Drosophila melanogaster: one gene and its partner. The protein of the gene in region 1 interacts with the protein of each later gene in a pairwise test. Each region holds a gene or a part of one and is shown on either strand. Other genes may lie near its edges.

The links.
Region 2: the proteins of mms4 (region 1) and CG12547 interact in a two-hybrid assay, tested with the Drosophila melanogaster proteins (one large-scale study listed by BioGRID).

What each region holds. Positions count from the first base shown.
Region 1 is NT_033778.4:10,807,339-10,815,222, reverse strand, and holds mms4 (methyl methanesulfonate sensitivity 4), read right to left. Parts: upstream 4,146-7,884; 5' UTR 4,099-4,145; coding exon 3,169-4,098; 3' UTR 3,008-3,168; downstream 1-3,007. Other genes in the region: CG7222 (uncharacterized protein), read right to left, coding at 113-194, 261-349, 632-940, 1,009-1,146; CG12341 (uncharacterized protein), read left to right, coding at 2,474-2,860; Nop10 ribonucleoprotein, read left to right, coding at 4,347-4,400, 4,466-4,606; CG12935 (uncharacterized protein), read right to left, coding at 4,680-4,972, 5,032-5,434.
Region 2 is NT_033778.4:4,782,671-4,791,907, reverse strand, and holds CG12547 (uncharacterized protein), read left to right. Parts: upstream 1-3,265; 5' UTR 3,266-3,321; coding exon 3,322-3,508; intron 3,509-3,562; coding exon 3,563-4,770; intron 4,771-4,832; coding exon 4,833-5,591; 3' UTR 5,592-6,053; downstream 6,054-9,237.

The DNA of each region.
Region 1 (7,884 bases):
CCCGGCTTTTTGCTCTGCGTAACTTAACAATGTTGGTCTCAGGACTGTTGTTTTATGTGAACTATGATCGCTTGTGTGTCGCCAAGTGACATATTTTCGGTCAGGTAACGTCTCAAAGGGGACTGTTGTCGGAGTCTTCGCGCTCTTGGATTGTGGTAATGCTTTGCTGCAAGGCATTCGGTGTCAGCCATTCTCTAAAAAACAACATAGAGTAGTTAATAATCATGAACTTGGCTTTTGTTTCACTTAGAAAGGCTTACTTTGGCAAACATCTTTGTAGAAATGGCACACAGGAGCTGAAATGCGCTAGACGATTGACCCAGCTGGGTATTTCTTGGCCGCAAAGTATCTAGAACGAGTAATTGGAATTGCAGATATAGTCAAATGAATATTCATTTGGGCTTTTAAGCTTGCATTTTCTTGCTCCTAAACTCGAATCGTTTGGAAGCATCTAATTGTATTGGACGTGTTTAGGATGGTAATCTGTCCTACTTTTTGAGGTGATTCACAATAAGAACTTCTGATTGTAACAGGCGGTATCTGACAATCGGTGAATCATGCATAAGCACACCCAAAATATTGCTTGATATTGGATCCACCCAGTGGAAAGTTTCCTCGATTTATGTCTCACCTGAGTTAATGAGCCCGAGAAGTGGTTGCAATTGTTGTTCATGAGATGATATCGGTCGCCACGGAACTGATTACCCAGCTCCTCGACGATACGTCGCACCTCCTCGTACGTAAAGTCGGTGCAGCCGATTTGGATGCTCTGCCGGAACTGGAACTGATCGCCCAACTCGTCGTGATCCCTCGGTGAGATCTCGAATACCCCCGTAAACGGAAATGGATGTCCGCCGTATGCGAATTCGGTGCCAAAGGCTTCTACGCCGGAGTGAAATACGCCCAGGCCGATTGAGGTGGTGTACTCGTTGATCCAGTACTGCAAATGCAAGGTTACATTTATCGTTGTGCGATGTCCGCATGGGCAACAGGAGTAAGTAAGCTTACCATATCGTAGACATTGAGTATAACAGGCTCGCGAGTACCCATATTGGATGGCAGTAGCTCTTCATTACCGATCTCGTCTTTTGGTACACTGAGACAGCTCGGAAACGACAGATTGCACGGCAATCCGTTGGAGAACATTGATTAAATGCGTCGTTGGTTTTGTGGGGCTTGAAGTATATGAAGTCTGCAATGCAGGGCCTTTGATTAATCTCGATTCACAAGCATATGCTGGTTAAAAGTGTGTATATACATATGTACTATAGCCACTTTAAATGAAGACTTAACTTCAACCGATTCTCATATTGACGGCTTACATACATATATATTCCGCATATATATGTATATAGCCGCGAGTGCGTAAGATACATATATCGTATATGGATGCAGTTACAAACATGCATACATATGTGTACATATGTGCGTATGTATGTAAGTTCGTCTCGGAAGAAATGTGTCATAGTGTAGGAGGACGACTTACACCTGTTCAGGGCTATCTCAGCATCCCATTTTCCAAAACAGAAACTTAACAAATCATAAGGGGCCAAATTATACGCTAAGGTGTTGTTTTTCAACTTCCGCTTTTTGTTTTTAGTTTACACAAAATTTTTTGTTTATGGATTGGTTTCAGAGTTGTCACTTGTGCCAAGAAGGTTTATGTTGAACTAGTTCGCCGATTATCGCTGCTCGATAACGATAAGCATGCTTGTGCTGAAAGCAGTGCATTTGAACACAGCTTACAAAAGAATATACCTTAAAAACCCTGTGACTTTTCACTACGATATCTGCCTTACATATGGATATCTTGAGTATAATAATTTAGAGCTGCGCTGCAAGCCCCGAACCAGTTCGCAACTGAGTCACAGCTGTTTGCTTATCAGAACTGGCCCAATCCCAAACGTTCCATTCCCATTGCCATAGTAAATCGCAGACAAGAACAATATAAAATTAAATTAAACCAACTAAAAGTGTTTGGTGTTGCTCAAAATGTGGAGTTAGGGCTGCCGCACACCAGTAGCCTGGTAATTAGGCCCGATTTAGCATTCACTGCCGCCAGCCGAGCGCTAATTGAGTGCCGTGACGAAAGTTCAATCGATTGTTGACCGAATTAAAAATAAGCCAAACATTTGCTAAACTACAGTGCTAACCGGAAGTTAAGGCCATGCTAAATAGGATCAAGCAACTGAAAAAGACTGCAATCCAAATCCGGCTATAGAATACGACAAATGTGGTATGGGTGTGGCCATTAGCACACACATGTGTTGGCGTGAGTATAATTAAATGCCAGAAGGTCAAGTCTAAAGGGAGTTATTGTTTGCAGGTCCATGAATATTGGCTGGATACATGCTATAGAAAGGGAATCCCCACCAGACATGCGGCTGGACACTCAACTGACCAACGGAAAAGCAATAACTAGCAACTAGTAACTAGGGATACCACGTCAACATCCATCGACTACGTTTTAGCCATGTTCTCGGACGACACCGATGAGTTGGACACCATCGCCGATGTGATGGGACTCCGGTCACAGGCGCGTCTCAATACGTTTCGCGAAATGTGGTACCACGTCTTTCTGTGGGCCCTGTTCTCCTCCATATTCATTCACACCTGCGCCGCCGTGGTGGCCTTCTTCACGCTCCGGAAGCACAAGTTCGGACGATTCTTCTCGATCCTCATCCTTGTCATGGGTTTCCTTTCCCCGGCCTCCAGTGGCATAATCAGCAGTGCAGTCATCGCCTTTGTGCATCGCGCCTCCAGTCTGCCCATGTCGCCCATATACGCCATGATCTGGGGCCTCGGCCAGACCATCGTCTCCGCCTGCCTGGGATTCACCCGGATTCTGGCCACGCTATAGAGCACGGACTGAAGTTTTTCATCGGCCATGGCCAACACTCCATTCTCCACATCGCGCCCAATCCAATGTTCACAGAGTTCCGACTTCCAAGCGGACATATTATCAATTCTTCAGGTGTGCAAACCACAATTAATTGAATTCATAGTTATGTGTATAGGAACATTGTGATTTTTAAAATTATACCTTATACGATGAGAAAATAATGTAAAATACTTAGATCTTAACTTAAAACCTAATTATAATTGTACATACTTTAGGAAGCTAATATATGAGCAGATTCTAAAGCTAAGAAAGTTTAGTTTAGTTTTCTAAATTAGAGTATTGGGATCCTTGGCAGTATACAATGTATACAGTTTGTTGCTGAGAACATTTCCAATACGTCGCTCGGTGTGAAGAGGCTGTGGTCCATTGCATCGCTTGATCTTCAAATCGGCGAGACTTTGGACAGCCAGTGGATCGCTGGAGAAATGATCGATCAGTTTCTTGGGACAGGGATACTGCGCTATTATGGACTCGGCCACTTCCAGCGTGACCATTGGCAGTCGATTCAGATGCTGCTGCCAGAGTCTTCCGTATCCGTTTCCCTGATCCACACGGACGCACTGCTTCTTGTCGTTGGCCAGGTATTTCTTGAAGCCTCCCAATGTCTCGTTGCGTTGCTTCTTATAGGGGGCTTCGGCTATTGCTTTTGTATAGCGCTGCAGCAGGGCCACTAGATCCTGGCTTTCGGGTTGATCTAGCTGTTCCACGTGTAGCTCCTGGAGCAACTGCATCTCAATCAGAGCGTCCTGGCTGGATGAGCTGCCATGCTTGCTGTGACGGAGCGTTGGCAGGGCAATGGTGTACTGGCAGTCCGGAAATGAGTCCTGCAAGCGCGGTCCCAGGCAAACTAGACTTTGATCCTTTACAGCCCGTTGGAAGCTGCTTTCGGATAGCCACTGGACCACTTGGTTTTCCGATTTCCAGGCTTCATCTAGGCCGGTGGGACTGCTGCCCAGAGCAATCGTCTGCTGGCCAACATTGCGTTCCCACAGGATGCAGTGGCTCACGGGCAAGCTCCTTATTTCATACTTCAAACCCGTCGCATTCAATTGCTGCAGTGCCTCCTGGCCCACGGGAATGCCCAGAAATCCGGCATCTATGACCATCCGCACATATTTCATACATTCTCCGGGCTTAATACGCTTCTGTTGTTCGCGTAAAGCCTGCTTGTGCAGCTTGTCCACTTTATTTGACATTGTGTACAAAAGTCCGCCAAATATTCTATACAAATATGCTTAGAGATGGAAGTGAATCGATAACAAGCGATCTAGCTACGAAAATCTAGCTAACATTTATTCCACGGTTCGAGGCTTGACTATTCTCTTAAGTTGGATTATTTAGTGCTTATTTTTTTTTAAAGCCTGGTAGCACCTTGCAACGCACGCCACACGTGTTTTATTTTCTGCTTCTTTGACTACAGAAAAACAATCCAAAAACTGCAAAAATGTATCTGATGTACACAATTAACGAAAACGGCGATCGCGTTTACACCCTGAAGGTATATTATTATCAAAACCCTATATATATATTACCCAACTAAGTCACCACTTGTTGCTCTTCTAGAAACGCACCGAGGATGGTCGTCCCACACTATCTGCTCATCCAGCACGTTTTTCACCGGAGGATAAGTACTCCCGCCAGAGGCTGACCATCAAGAAGCGCTTTGGACTGCTGCTCACCCAGAAGCCGGAGCCCATTTACTAAGCCGCATTTTAGTTTTAATTAGTGTACATCTTTATTTACAAATAATAAGCTACAAAACAACAAAACTTGCCCTTTAAATGCGACGCTTGAGGCCCGCCGTGTAATCGAATAACTCGCCATTCCGAAACTCGCCACGCATATCCAGGACGTAATACAGTGTCTTGCCCTTCACCTTAATGGGTAGCTGCACCCTGGCCATGTTCCGTGATTCCTCGGCGGAGACGCACTTTAATGGCACGGTCATAATGCGATTCCGGTTGAAGGGACCGTAGGTCACAAAGGAAACGCTCTGACCACCCTTTCTCAAGATAAGAAAACGCACCGATCGCAGGGTAAACATCCAGACAGCAAACAGTATGCCATATCCTAAAATGTTGGTTGAGTTTTATTTTCGGCTTGCCGAGAACGTAGTAAACCACTCTTACCTATCAGAAAGCTACAGGCTGTAATGCCATTTCTGTACTTATTATCGCCCAGATTTATGCGCTGGAACCACTTCAGCTCCTCTCCGGGTTTTTCCACCACTGGAGCATCCTTAAGCGTCGTGAAGGCGAAGTGCGAGAGATATGTCCAGAAAACAAACTGACACACCCCGAAAAAGTTAAGCATCTGGTAGAATCGGGGGTTTTCATACTTGAAAAGTATTATGTCCTTGGGGACACTGGTGTTCACATCGAAGGGGGCGGCTTGGGAGGAGAATCTCTTTATCGTGGAAGTAACCGGCGTTTTTGTTACAATGGCCGGAGCTGCCAGTCTGAAACTCTGGAGGCTAAGGCGCTTGATGGAGTTGACGCCCTGCCGCAGGGCAAAATTCAGCAGATTGCTCATCTTAATTGAATAATTCCCGCATTTGTTATTATAAAACAAATTAACCTATAATCTACAGATGTTTTTGTTTTGTTCCGTTTGCTATTGGTTCACTAGCTCCGGAACTGGAACTAGTTCAACAAAGCAGCCATCAGGGCTGGCACATGCTGACTCCGTTCACTAGTTCACCCATTGGAACAATTAACGAAAATAACACGATTTTTGCAATGTTCACCGTTGTATTTCATGAGAACGTCACATTACTTAAACGGGCCGAAAACATTTGTCAATATGATTCAGTTTTAAGCAAAAGAAGGGACAGGGGAGATCACGTCTTAGTTCCAACTGGCACTTAATAGTTCTGCTCCCATAAATAAAACGTTTAGCTATACAGCCCTAGTAACAACATATGATTTTGTTTGGTTCCAAACTAGGGATGTACACGTGCATGAACTGCATAACGTTTTTTATTTTTGTATATAAATACTATAGAAATGCTGCTTCTCCTCAGCTATTAAATATACATCCTTTTATAATATTACTATCGTAATGAGAAGGTAACCAGTTTAAGTTATATCTGGTCATCATGTTAATAATAATAATAATAATAATAATACAAATTGCGTAAAAATGCAAAGTTGAATATAAGATAAAATAAGTTTTGCCAAAATCCAACCTAAATAAATACAAAAATAATAAGTATTGTTAGAAACGTCCATAAAAAATGTCTTCTCGATGCGTATCAGAAATCGGCATCCGGAATCACGCGCCAATCTCTATTCCAAGTGCCGCTAGCTTGCAATCTGGGCGCTGCTCTTCGGAACCAGTTGTGCATAGACTGGTTCTTTTCGGCACCTTCTGTTGTTGTGCGATTTTAGTCTGTGTTTCAGTCTTCGTCGTTTAAGGGCATCGGAAGTGGAGTTGCCTGCGAATTGTAAACAAATCACGGAGAAGCTGTTAAATTCATTCAAATCATTGACATTTGATAGTTGCCGTTAGACCACAAGTCATATTTCAATAGTTTTCGGTAATATATAAGTTAATAAACGAGTTTGTCGTGTCGTAGAAAGGTAAGTGTAGTTTTTTTTATCCATTTTATGTTATATTTATAATTTTCTTTATAAAAATACCCTGTAATATAATGGTCCAATCGAATGGTACATTTGGGATTTGCATTTTTTTTACTGGGTTTTGAAGTTTTTTTTTATTTGGACTGGGTACGGGTACCATACGCCAGATATGGTACGAGTCTCTTTAAAGACATTTGTGTTTTCAGGGTTGTCAAGTGACCGCGATTTGCAAATCAGGCGAAATCTGATATATATCTGGATTTGTTACTATGCTATATTTTAGACTAGACTACCGACGTGTAGGCAAGACTATATACCGCAATGCCATTGCAATAGGACAAAAAATGACCTGCCGGTGGCAACCCTGCGCGACATCATGGTCTCAATTATACATTTAAAGACATTTGATTTGCGTCTAATCGGACACATCGAGGTTTTATATTATATTCATGATAAACATAATGCATACCTGGCAACCCTAAAAACATAAAATTGTACAATAGGTGAATAAAAACGCCGCCCGTTTTGCTTTTGCTTCTGCTTGCAACCTGCTCGTTTTAGGTTTTTCGGGGTTTAGTCTTTATCGAACGTCTGATACCAGAAACATGCAGAGGGCGCCGAGGGGATTTCAAAAATGTCCTTGCTTTCGTAAAGCATGCAAAAACTTGGATGTTTTTCGATCTAACCTCACTCTGCATCAAAATCGATACGTAACCTAAAAAGAATGTAAATGCGTTGCAAAATCGCACAAATACACGTTCTGATATACATACACGCTCACACCGATGTGCCGTTGCTACAACGAACTTAACTGGTGTGTGTGCGCGTGTTAGAGCGGGACAGCTATAATAGACATATAGCCCAAAATTGGCTTAAATACAAGACCGAACTTTAAAGACGATAAATTGGCCATATATACTTTAAGTTGCAAAAATACGACACCTAAACATGTTTGTTATCTACATTTGTGTGTATAAGCAACGGTTTTAATGGACCTAAGCATCTTGAAAAAAGTATTGCCATCAGAGCAAGTCGAAATTTAATGATCCAATGTCACTAGCTTCTAGGATCAATTTCTTTAATAGAGCTGATATCGAAGGTTTTAGCATTTCATCTACAAAAACAACGACTTTACGCCTCTATTTTTGTTTGCCCGGTGTTGTAGTTGTTGCTTTCGGCTTGCTGCTGTATCTTTGTCGTGCTGTGTTTGGCGCTACGCGAACTTTATTCAATTCCTACATACAGGCAAATATATATAGCCACGTGCATATATAAATTTGGCCTCTTGCTCTCTCTTGCAATTACTCTCCGGCCGCTCTCTCTGTCCGTCCCGCTCACTCCGCAACTTTCTACAAAACCGGTATCCTGGCAAGGTCCTAAGTTCGTTTCGAAAAGACCAGA
Region 2 (9,237 bases), 6.0 Mb from region 1:
AGGTTTATTAAATAAATTAAAAAATCTTTAATATAAAGAGATGGATAAACAAACATTTATAAATACCATTAAACACACACTAAATACAACACATAACACATAACAAAATTTATTCCAGACATTACCCACTTGCTCAAACGCATGAAATTGAAGTCGAAAACCAAGTACACGAAATGCTCAATTAGGTATAATTCAGGGAAAGTAATTCGCCATACAACAGTCCCAGCTCGGTAGTTCGAAACTGATGCGTCTAGGAAACTTGTGTACAGAGTAGTAATTGATTATAAAAATTTAATGAAATAACTATCCCGGACAGATAACCAATATAATACATGGACGAAATCCTTGGTAAATTAGGAAAAGGTCAATATTTAATATTTAAAAACCATTGACCCAGAATCAATATGTAAATCTGCATTCTCCACCAAAAGCGGACATTATGAGTACATTCGAATGCCATTTGGCATGAATAATATTCTAATAAACATATATACACATATAAATAGATAATAAACACTGTTTAGTTTTTTCTCCACATCCCTTATTGAACATTTTAAATTCATTACAGATAGGCTTTTTAAAACTCCCAAAAGCAAATTTAAAATTGCAGCCAGATAAATGTAAATTTTTGAAAAAGGAAGCTAGTTTTCTTGGTCACATCGTAACCCCTAATGGTATAAAATCAAAACCTCTTAAAATAAAAGCCATAGATTCATATCCAATTCCAAAAAAAGGTAAAAGAGATCAGAGCTTCTCTTGGATTAACCGATTACAGCAAATGTATCCCCCAGACATAGCAAGACAAATAACCAAAGGTTTAAAAAAAAAGCGCACAGATATGTAGGTGCACAAAACCTTGGCTACACAGAGGCATTCAAAAAACTTATAGCTTTAATCCGTTTTCAAAAAAGTCTACTTTAACCACAGATGCCAGTAATTTAGCCCATTTGGCAGTACTTTCTCAAAATGGTCATCCTATATTCTTTCTTATCAGAACACTTAATAAACACAAATTAAATTACAGCGCTATCGAAAAATAATTACTCGCCATAGCTTGGGCAACAACAACTTTTCGACATTATTTACTAGGACGACAGTTTATCATTGCTATCATCAGGTTATCATTATCATCAACAAAAATCGATTATATTGAAGGGATGGAGAATTCAGTTGGCGATGCATTATCTAGAATTAAACTTGAAGAAAACCATCATAGGGAAGTTACTCAACATAGCGCAAAAGAAGACAACCTTATTCATTCATTCATTCAGTTATACAGAACATTACAAAATTAATTAAAGAACACAGAACACAGAACACAGAAACACCAAATTGCCTTTAAAATCACTCCTAATTGCTGAGGCAATCAACATCAGTTGAATTGTCATTTATTTTAAATTCGCTACACTTGAAGAGAAGAGATATGTGAAATTAAAACAAAGGACTGGATAGAATGCAGAAACGCAATAATGTGCATTTCCAATCAATCAGGTAAACCCAAAATACTAAAGGCAGACAGAGACGGAGCTTTTTCCATTTTGACTCTAAAGCGACGGCTTTAAGAAGAAGGAATCGAATTGCAACTTAATACGGCAGGAAACGGTGTAGCAGACGTCTAAAGACTAAATAATATAATAAATGATAAAATCCGTATAATCAATTCATCTGTTAAGCAAATTAGAAACAATCCTTTACTCATACAACCATAAAATAAATATTGACACTAAATACAGGAAAGATCCACTTCAAAGAGGAAAATAAAAAAAATTAAACCAAACCCATTTAAAAATGTAGATAAATAGATCAAGACCATTACAAAATACGAAATAGGGAAACCGAATACTACAAAACACAATTTAAGAAACAAAAGAAACCTAATACCGTTAAACTTCCACAGGAACCTTGTGTATAATTATGTTGTGTCTAACATTCACCACGGACCACAGTCAAAATATTCAAATAATCAACAAAGATTCCGACCTAGGCTACTTACTCTTCTTAAGCAATCCAATTCAAATATCATCACTGTCTAATAATTAATTTAACGGAAATCATTGTGATCAAAATCTCGATCTTTTGGTAACAAAATCACAGACTCGCCCACAATGAAAACCTTATACAAGAAGCTTCTAAAAGAATTAAATGATTAAATTAAATTAATTTGACAAAATAGGTTCACGTTTTATCAGAACATCAACTTGAATTGACCACAAAAATAACGAGTTCTTCTTACTCATTTCACATAGCCCTGGTAACCAGGAAACCATCAACACCATTAAAATAATTCCCTATCCTGACCATATGGGTATCAGTTAAACTATTTAGATAAAAAAAACATATTTTTTGAAGATGAGAATACAATTTATCATAACAAAAAAGAAGTTAACAATGAATGCATTAAAAATATAATTAAGCGGAAGAATCCAATTTGAAATTATATGCCGACTCCCTCAAAGGAAATTATCTAGTACGTTGAACCAAATATTATACTTACATACAATCTCTCAAAATAAACAATGTAAAATAAAGATTGGAAATGCTATTTTAGGCGAAAATTAATGAATCGACTAACCTTCTTATACATCCCCAGTCTAAATTTGGAAAACAAGACAAAGTAATCAAGAACCACTACAAGAAATAGAACCGGCACAAAACTAGTTGCCTACCCTGTAATACCAGCCCAAGCATTATAATTTTTAAGAGAGGAGAAGGGATACACATAATTAGCACTGTCCAAAGAAATAAGAATATTCTTAATATCAATATACCAAGCCGGCGGTCTCGCTCTCGAAATAATATAAACAACTGGGCAATGAGTGTCCTATTCACATAATCCCACGCCAGTGTACATCACATCCGCTAATTGCTATCGATAATACTGTCTATGTCAAAATAATGTAAACAAAAGGGCAGTGTAAGAAAGATATTTGTCACTAACATTTAGTCTTAAACTGTGATCAAAAGAATAAAGACGTTATCCTTAGTCAACTGACGGGACATTAGTTCCACTCAATAAACACAAGCATTTCACTATATATATTTTTATAATTCTTTAGAGAGTTTTCTTTAGACGAGTTTTAGAACTCGTCTATCGTTCATTATGGAATCTGTTCGTTCTGAGGGTGACAGTTACTCAATCAAACTAAGGTCGAACATTTTTGAATTTTATGCTGTTCATGGTGTTCCTATCATCATCGTTCCTAATAATTATAATATTAAATTTGTCGACATGCATATATATGTATATAGTTTTCATTCTAGACCTCTGGTCACATTAACTTTATCTGAATATATATACACAATTTTATAACTTATGCTAGAATGGATTTTAATAATGACTTATCGCCTATTGATATTTTGACATTTATAACAGATGAACTGTTGCAAGCATACAAAAGCAGTAAAGGAGAAAATGAAAAGGCTGGGACAATTGTCAAGTTTCTTGACCGATGGAATGACGATATCTCCATTGCAAAACTCAAGGATCTCACTGTTGAATTTGAATCAGGTAAAAGGAAATTATAGTTATCAATGCTTCATATTATTAATTGCTTTACTTCAGATTTAGAGTGGTTCAATGTAAGTTGCCCCTTATCGATAAAAGGACTGCAAGGAAAAGTTATCATATTAGACTTTTTCACATATTGCTGCATTAATTGTATGCATGTGCTGCAAGAGTTGCACTTATTGGAAGAACGCTTTCCAATAGAAAGTGGTGTTGTAGTAATCGGTGTTCACAGTCCTAAGTTTGAAAATGAACGCAATGCGGCAAACATTCTGTCCGCTGTACAACGATATGGAATATCACATCCCATTGTCAATGATTCACGATCTGGAATGTGGCGCGCTCTTGGAATTCGTTGCTGGCCTTCTCTTTTGATTCTAAGCCCGACTGGTGTTCCGATGATGTTATTAATGGGTGAAGGGCATGGAAAATTCCTACAGGATTTTTTTTCTTCTGCCCTATCGTATTTTAGCCGTCAGGGTATAATTGACCATAGGGGTTTACCTTTAAAATTATTTAATGACTTTCAACCAGCATCTAACTTGCGTTTTCCCGCAAAGATTGTTCAAGGCCCTAATGGCCTGTATGCTATTGCTGATACGGGGAACAACAGGGTGCTTGTGCTTACAGCAGGCGGTGTGGTACAGCACAGAATTGGAGGACACCAGCCTGGTTTCGTGGATGGAGACCTAACAGTGGCACGGTTTAATAATCCTCAAGGCATTGCGTTTCTTAATGAAAACGTTTTGATTGTAGCGGACACTAAAAACCACGCCATTCGTCAGATCTCTCTAACAAATGCAATGGTGGAAACTCTTGCTGGCACAGGAATTCAGGGAAATGATCGAATAGGTGGACGTCTAGGACCATTGCAACCACTGTCGTCACCGTGGGATGTTGCCATATTTCGAACGAGGGACATGGATATGTCCTTTCATCTTGATGAACGTAACATACCAGAAAAAACAATTATCCTTATATCCATGGCAGGCACCCACCAGATTTGGGGCTATTTTCCCGAAGGAATTATTTGGTGGAAATTTCGTAAATTTGAGCCTTGTTGCTGTGTCTCACTAATAGGAAATGGTTTGGAAGAGAACCGTAATAATTCTTACCCACAGAACGCTGCATTCGCACAGCCATCTGGCCTGGCCATAGCGGGAGACGTTTTATATATAGCTGACAGCGAAAGCTCTAGCATACGCAAAGCTTCTATGATAGATGGAAAGGTTATGCCTGTCGTCGGAGGAGATCGAAACCCACTTGTATGTTCCATGTCATGAATATGAGTTATATAGTCTTCAAAATTAATGTATGATTTTTCTAGAATTTATTTGCATTTGGCGACATTGACGGTAGACTATTCAGCGCGAAACTCCAACATCCGTTAGGAGTGACTTTCAATGATACCAATAACAAACTCTATGTTGCTGATACCTATAATCATAAAATCAAAATTATTGACATCGATTCAAATGATATATCTACTCTACAAATTAAGAGCCAAGAAAATACTAACCTGATTTTAAACGAGCCCGCCGGACTGTGCTTGGATGCCAGCGGACGGAATTTGTTGGTAGCTGATACCAATAACCATTCAATACATACAATAGATTTGGTAACGCTTATAGCACAACCGTTTGGCTTAGATTTCAGACAAATAGCGTCCGCTAGTGAAATTGATGCGCCACAAGATACACAAAAGCCTACGGAAAATAATATAGTTAAAGCATTGCCTCTTGATTTAATTAAACCAAGTAAAATTTTTTTTAACCTTCGGCTTTCGCCCAGATTTAACTTTACAAAGGAAGCTCCTCAAAAATGGATAGTGAAAACTGTATGTCAATCTGTAATAGTAAATCCAACGTGCGGAAATCTACTTGATGGGATGTGCCACATGCAGGTGCAGGCTACTAGGCCTGATTTTATGTGTGAAAGCAGTCAAATATTTACCATCGAATTCGTATTAAATTTATGCCTTTCAAATTGTTGCCTAGTAAAAAAAATCACGGTTTCTATAAAACGCGATGACATACAAGAAGAATATATATCCATCCACAACGTAAATATTGACATTGAACAATAAAAAATGTTTTGATAGAAAAGTTTTGCATATATCCATAATAATGTTTCGGTATGTACATTTATATCCTTTACTCTCAGTGTAAATAGTTCGAATGTTTGTTTTAAATTAATTATAACCGCAGAGTATAAACAAAGATACTAGAATAACAAGATGCGTAACGCCAAAGATTTTTTGGCACACGATTTTTTCGTTGTGGCTCTAGAGGTGGATCCAGGCTCTCTAGAATTTTTGTTCGAGAGCGGAGAGCGTTACAGCTCCTTTCTACGCATACAGTGACAGCAGACAACTGTATGTGTGCACACGTATGCTCATGCATTGTGAATTTGACAAAATATTCCCTTCACCTTAGAAGTTTTTAGGCTTAAATCTATATTATTTTTGATCAATTGGCACGTTATTATTATTTAAATATAGCTGAGAAATAGTAATAGCCGAATCATAATAACACAAAATAAATTTCAAAATGACTTTATATTAGAATATTTATAGAGTATTCAGCAAAGCAAAGACACTAGAATAATTCTAGTGTCTTTGATATGACTTTTGCAATAAACAGTTTTCATATTTTTTTTTATTTTATAAATTTATAAATTTTTTTTATAAATTTATTCGTATTATTTTTATGAAATATTTATTTTTCAATGTAATGTCTTCTTTTTGGAAAATTTATGTTTTAAATTACAGTAGTTATCATAATTTCCTTTGTATTTGCTTTAATTATTTTATATTTATAAAGTCATTTGACTTAATATGAAGTATGTAAATGATCCAATTTTATTATTTAAAATGCACATTAGATTCAGTTGTTTTTCATATTCATTTTTTTTTTTTTGTATTCCAATTTGATATAGATATAATATATAGATATAAAATTCCGATTTAATATGATATGATGATTTTTTGTATCGGCATACGTATTTTGACAAGCCTTTAATGCCAAAAAAGGTTAAACGTACATTAGGAGTATTGAAACAATTAATAAAATATATACCCTCCTTTGGCACAAATAACTTTTTGTAGTAAGTCCGTTACTGAATCCACCAAATTGTGAACGATCTCTGGTGTCAAATCTTTCTCTCGAGTTTTGTGTAACTAAATTTTATGAAACAAGTCGCCCAACCCATTGTAGGCAACACATCCCCACAACATCATGGCCGAAGGCCTTATTTTTTGCCTTTTCTGAGTTGGTAATCTTACCAACAATTTTTTGTTTTGACGATTTACTATCACAAAAGCTTTCATCCATATGTTTCTTTGGCATATTTCAACATTTTACACTTGAACATTTTTGAAATATACGGCACATCCTTAGCAATCTATGTTCCTTTAAATTGCCAGACTGTGCAGTCACTGATTGCTTACGTTTACTTTTCGTGAGGCTGGCGGTCAGATTCCACTGAGTTACAACGGATTGGGCTGGTAGGGTTTTTTTTTTAGTTCCCGTATAAGGATTTTGTCGTCAGCGATTGTTCATTATTAAATCATTAAATCATTATGTTTTTTAAACGTTTTAATTTGTTAATACACAGTTTGACGATACACATTAAACCCTTTCGCATTGTTTTTTACTTTAATTCCAACGTTAAACGTTAAAATATTTATTTATGCAGTTTGCTAGTGTATGTATGTAACAGATAGAAGAAAGCGTTTCCGACTGTGTTATGTTCTCACTAGCCAAGTCGATCTGACCATGTCCGTCGTCCATCCATCTGCTTATACTAATAAATGCTGTAATATCAAGATTAAGATGGGCACGACCACATTTTTGAAAAAAAAAATTTTCAGTTTTATTACTTGGAAACTGTCTACTTGTCTACAATATAACTGAAATACCAAAATCACTTTATCTGTGCCCATTTTAGCGCCCGCAAGCTGAAAAAGCAAACCTGTCACGCCCACATTTTCGTAAATTTTCAGATTTTTGTTTGTTTTTTCTTTGCTATTCAACCAAATTTTTAGATTTCTTTATACCATTACCAATGAGTATCAGTTATCTATCATTCTTTTATTTTATAACCGTTACTAGTAGGGTGCAGGAAATACAAGATTCATTAAGAAGTATGTAAGATGCATGCGAGAAATGTGCACGAAGAAGGGTGGCATAAAGAACCAAATATCTACATAAATGAATTACTTCAAGTGGCTTATATTCAGCTGCTCTCCTAAGTACGAAAACTCGGGGGACTCCAACTCTTTTAAGAAGCATTTATGCGGATACGAGTGTTACATATAATAGCCATAATGATGTGATCCCTTCGGTACGGTGATTGGGTTACTGTCATTAAAATCCAACGAAGAGTTCTGCAGTCGACCATCTACTCGAAGAAGTCCAACTTAGTAAATTAAATGAAGGCTGTTCTATTCCTTGAGTGTTCGCAGAATTATCAAGCAAGACGAAGATCCATTATTCGTTTCTCTGTTAATGCGGTGCAATTCGTGGGCATTTCTGGCACACGCTTGACTTGACCACGTACAGCAGTTGTTCCCACGTTGGAATTGACTGACTCACCGGGTCCAGCATTTGAAGAAGTACTTGGACGATGACGCATCCACCGATTTGTGCTGTTGAGCACATTCCATTTAGAGCGCGAATATGATCGTGTGATAGTTAAGCTTTGAAACAAAACCACTCCGCACTGCAAAAAATCTCAGTAATTGTGCCTGGAGCTGGCAGGCAGCAGCGTGTGTCTATTTGAAAAAAAGTCACTATTCCAGATGCGACAAGTCTGGATGCGACTTTAACGCCTTTGGCCTATAATGATCTTAAAGCGTGCACGGTCTTCATTTTCACAAGTGAGCTGTTGGATCTGCTCGCTCTTTGCTTAACTGTAAGAACTATAAAATTGCACTGTACGCACGTGCTGGGGGCATTGCTAGGAAAATTGCGGCGCTTGTTACAAGCAAAATTCCACGACCATCAGACTGTGCATCATACCATCGTTTCAATCAGACCGGTTCGCTGTTCTTGATGCACGAGGATGAGGCCAAGTGTTCCACAGCAACGAGCATGCGTCGCAGGTCGAAAAAAAATCGGGTTTGTCTGTTCGAACAATAACTAAGGACAATGGAACCATCACTGCTGGCGGTAACGATTCTTTGCCTGCCAGGAGCGGATTAGATGCAAGGCCATGTGGACCACACAATCGATGAACTGGGAGGCACGGCGACGGCTGATCGACCTAACGCCATTTATTAGCGACAACTACGGGGTGTCTAGAATGGAGCACCTAGTAAACTAGTTATTTTTTAATGTGTGCCGTCCAATAGTGCCCAAATACCAATTATGTTGTGCCGGCGGATCTGCTGCCTGCATGGTCAAAGTGATGGCAAGATTAAGATTGACTACAATGAAACGAATATGTTGGTAAACATTTGTAGAGCGCAAGGCGATGACGGAGTATGCACACTAGTGTTGGGTAATCCTAGTTCAATTTGGAAATAAGTTCGTTCGTTCTTTAAAAATCAATGAACTAGGTCGTTCATTTAGTTCAATCGTTCATTTTTTAAACTTGCTTGAAGCACCTTTTTCCAACAAAAAAAAATATATATATATCTATATATGCATTTATTTCATACAGTGCTGTCATTGAAAAATAATATTATTTATTCAATTTATGTCAAAAACAATTATACATAATAATAATAA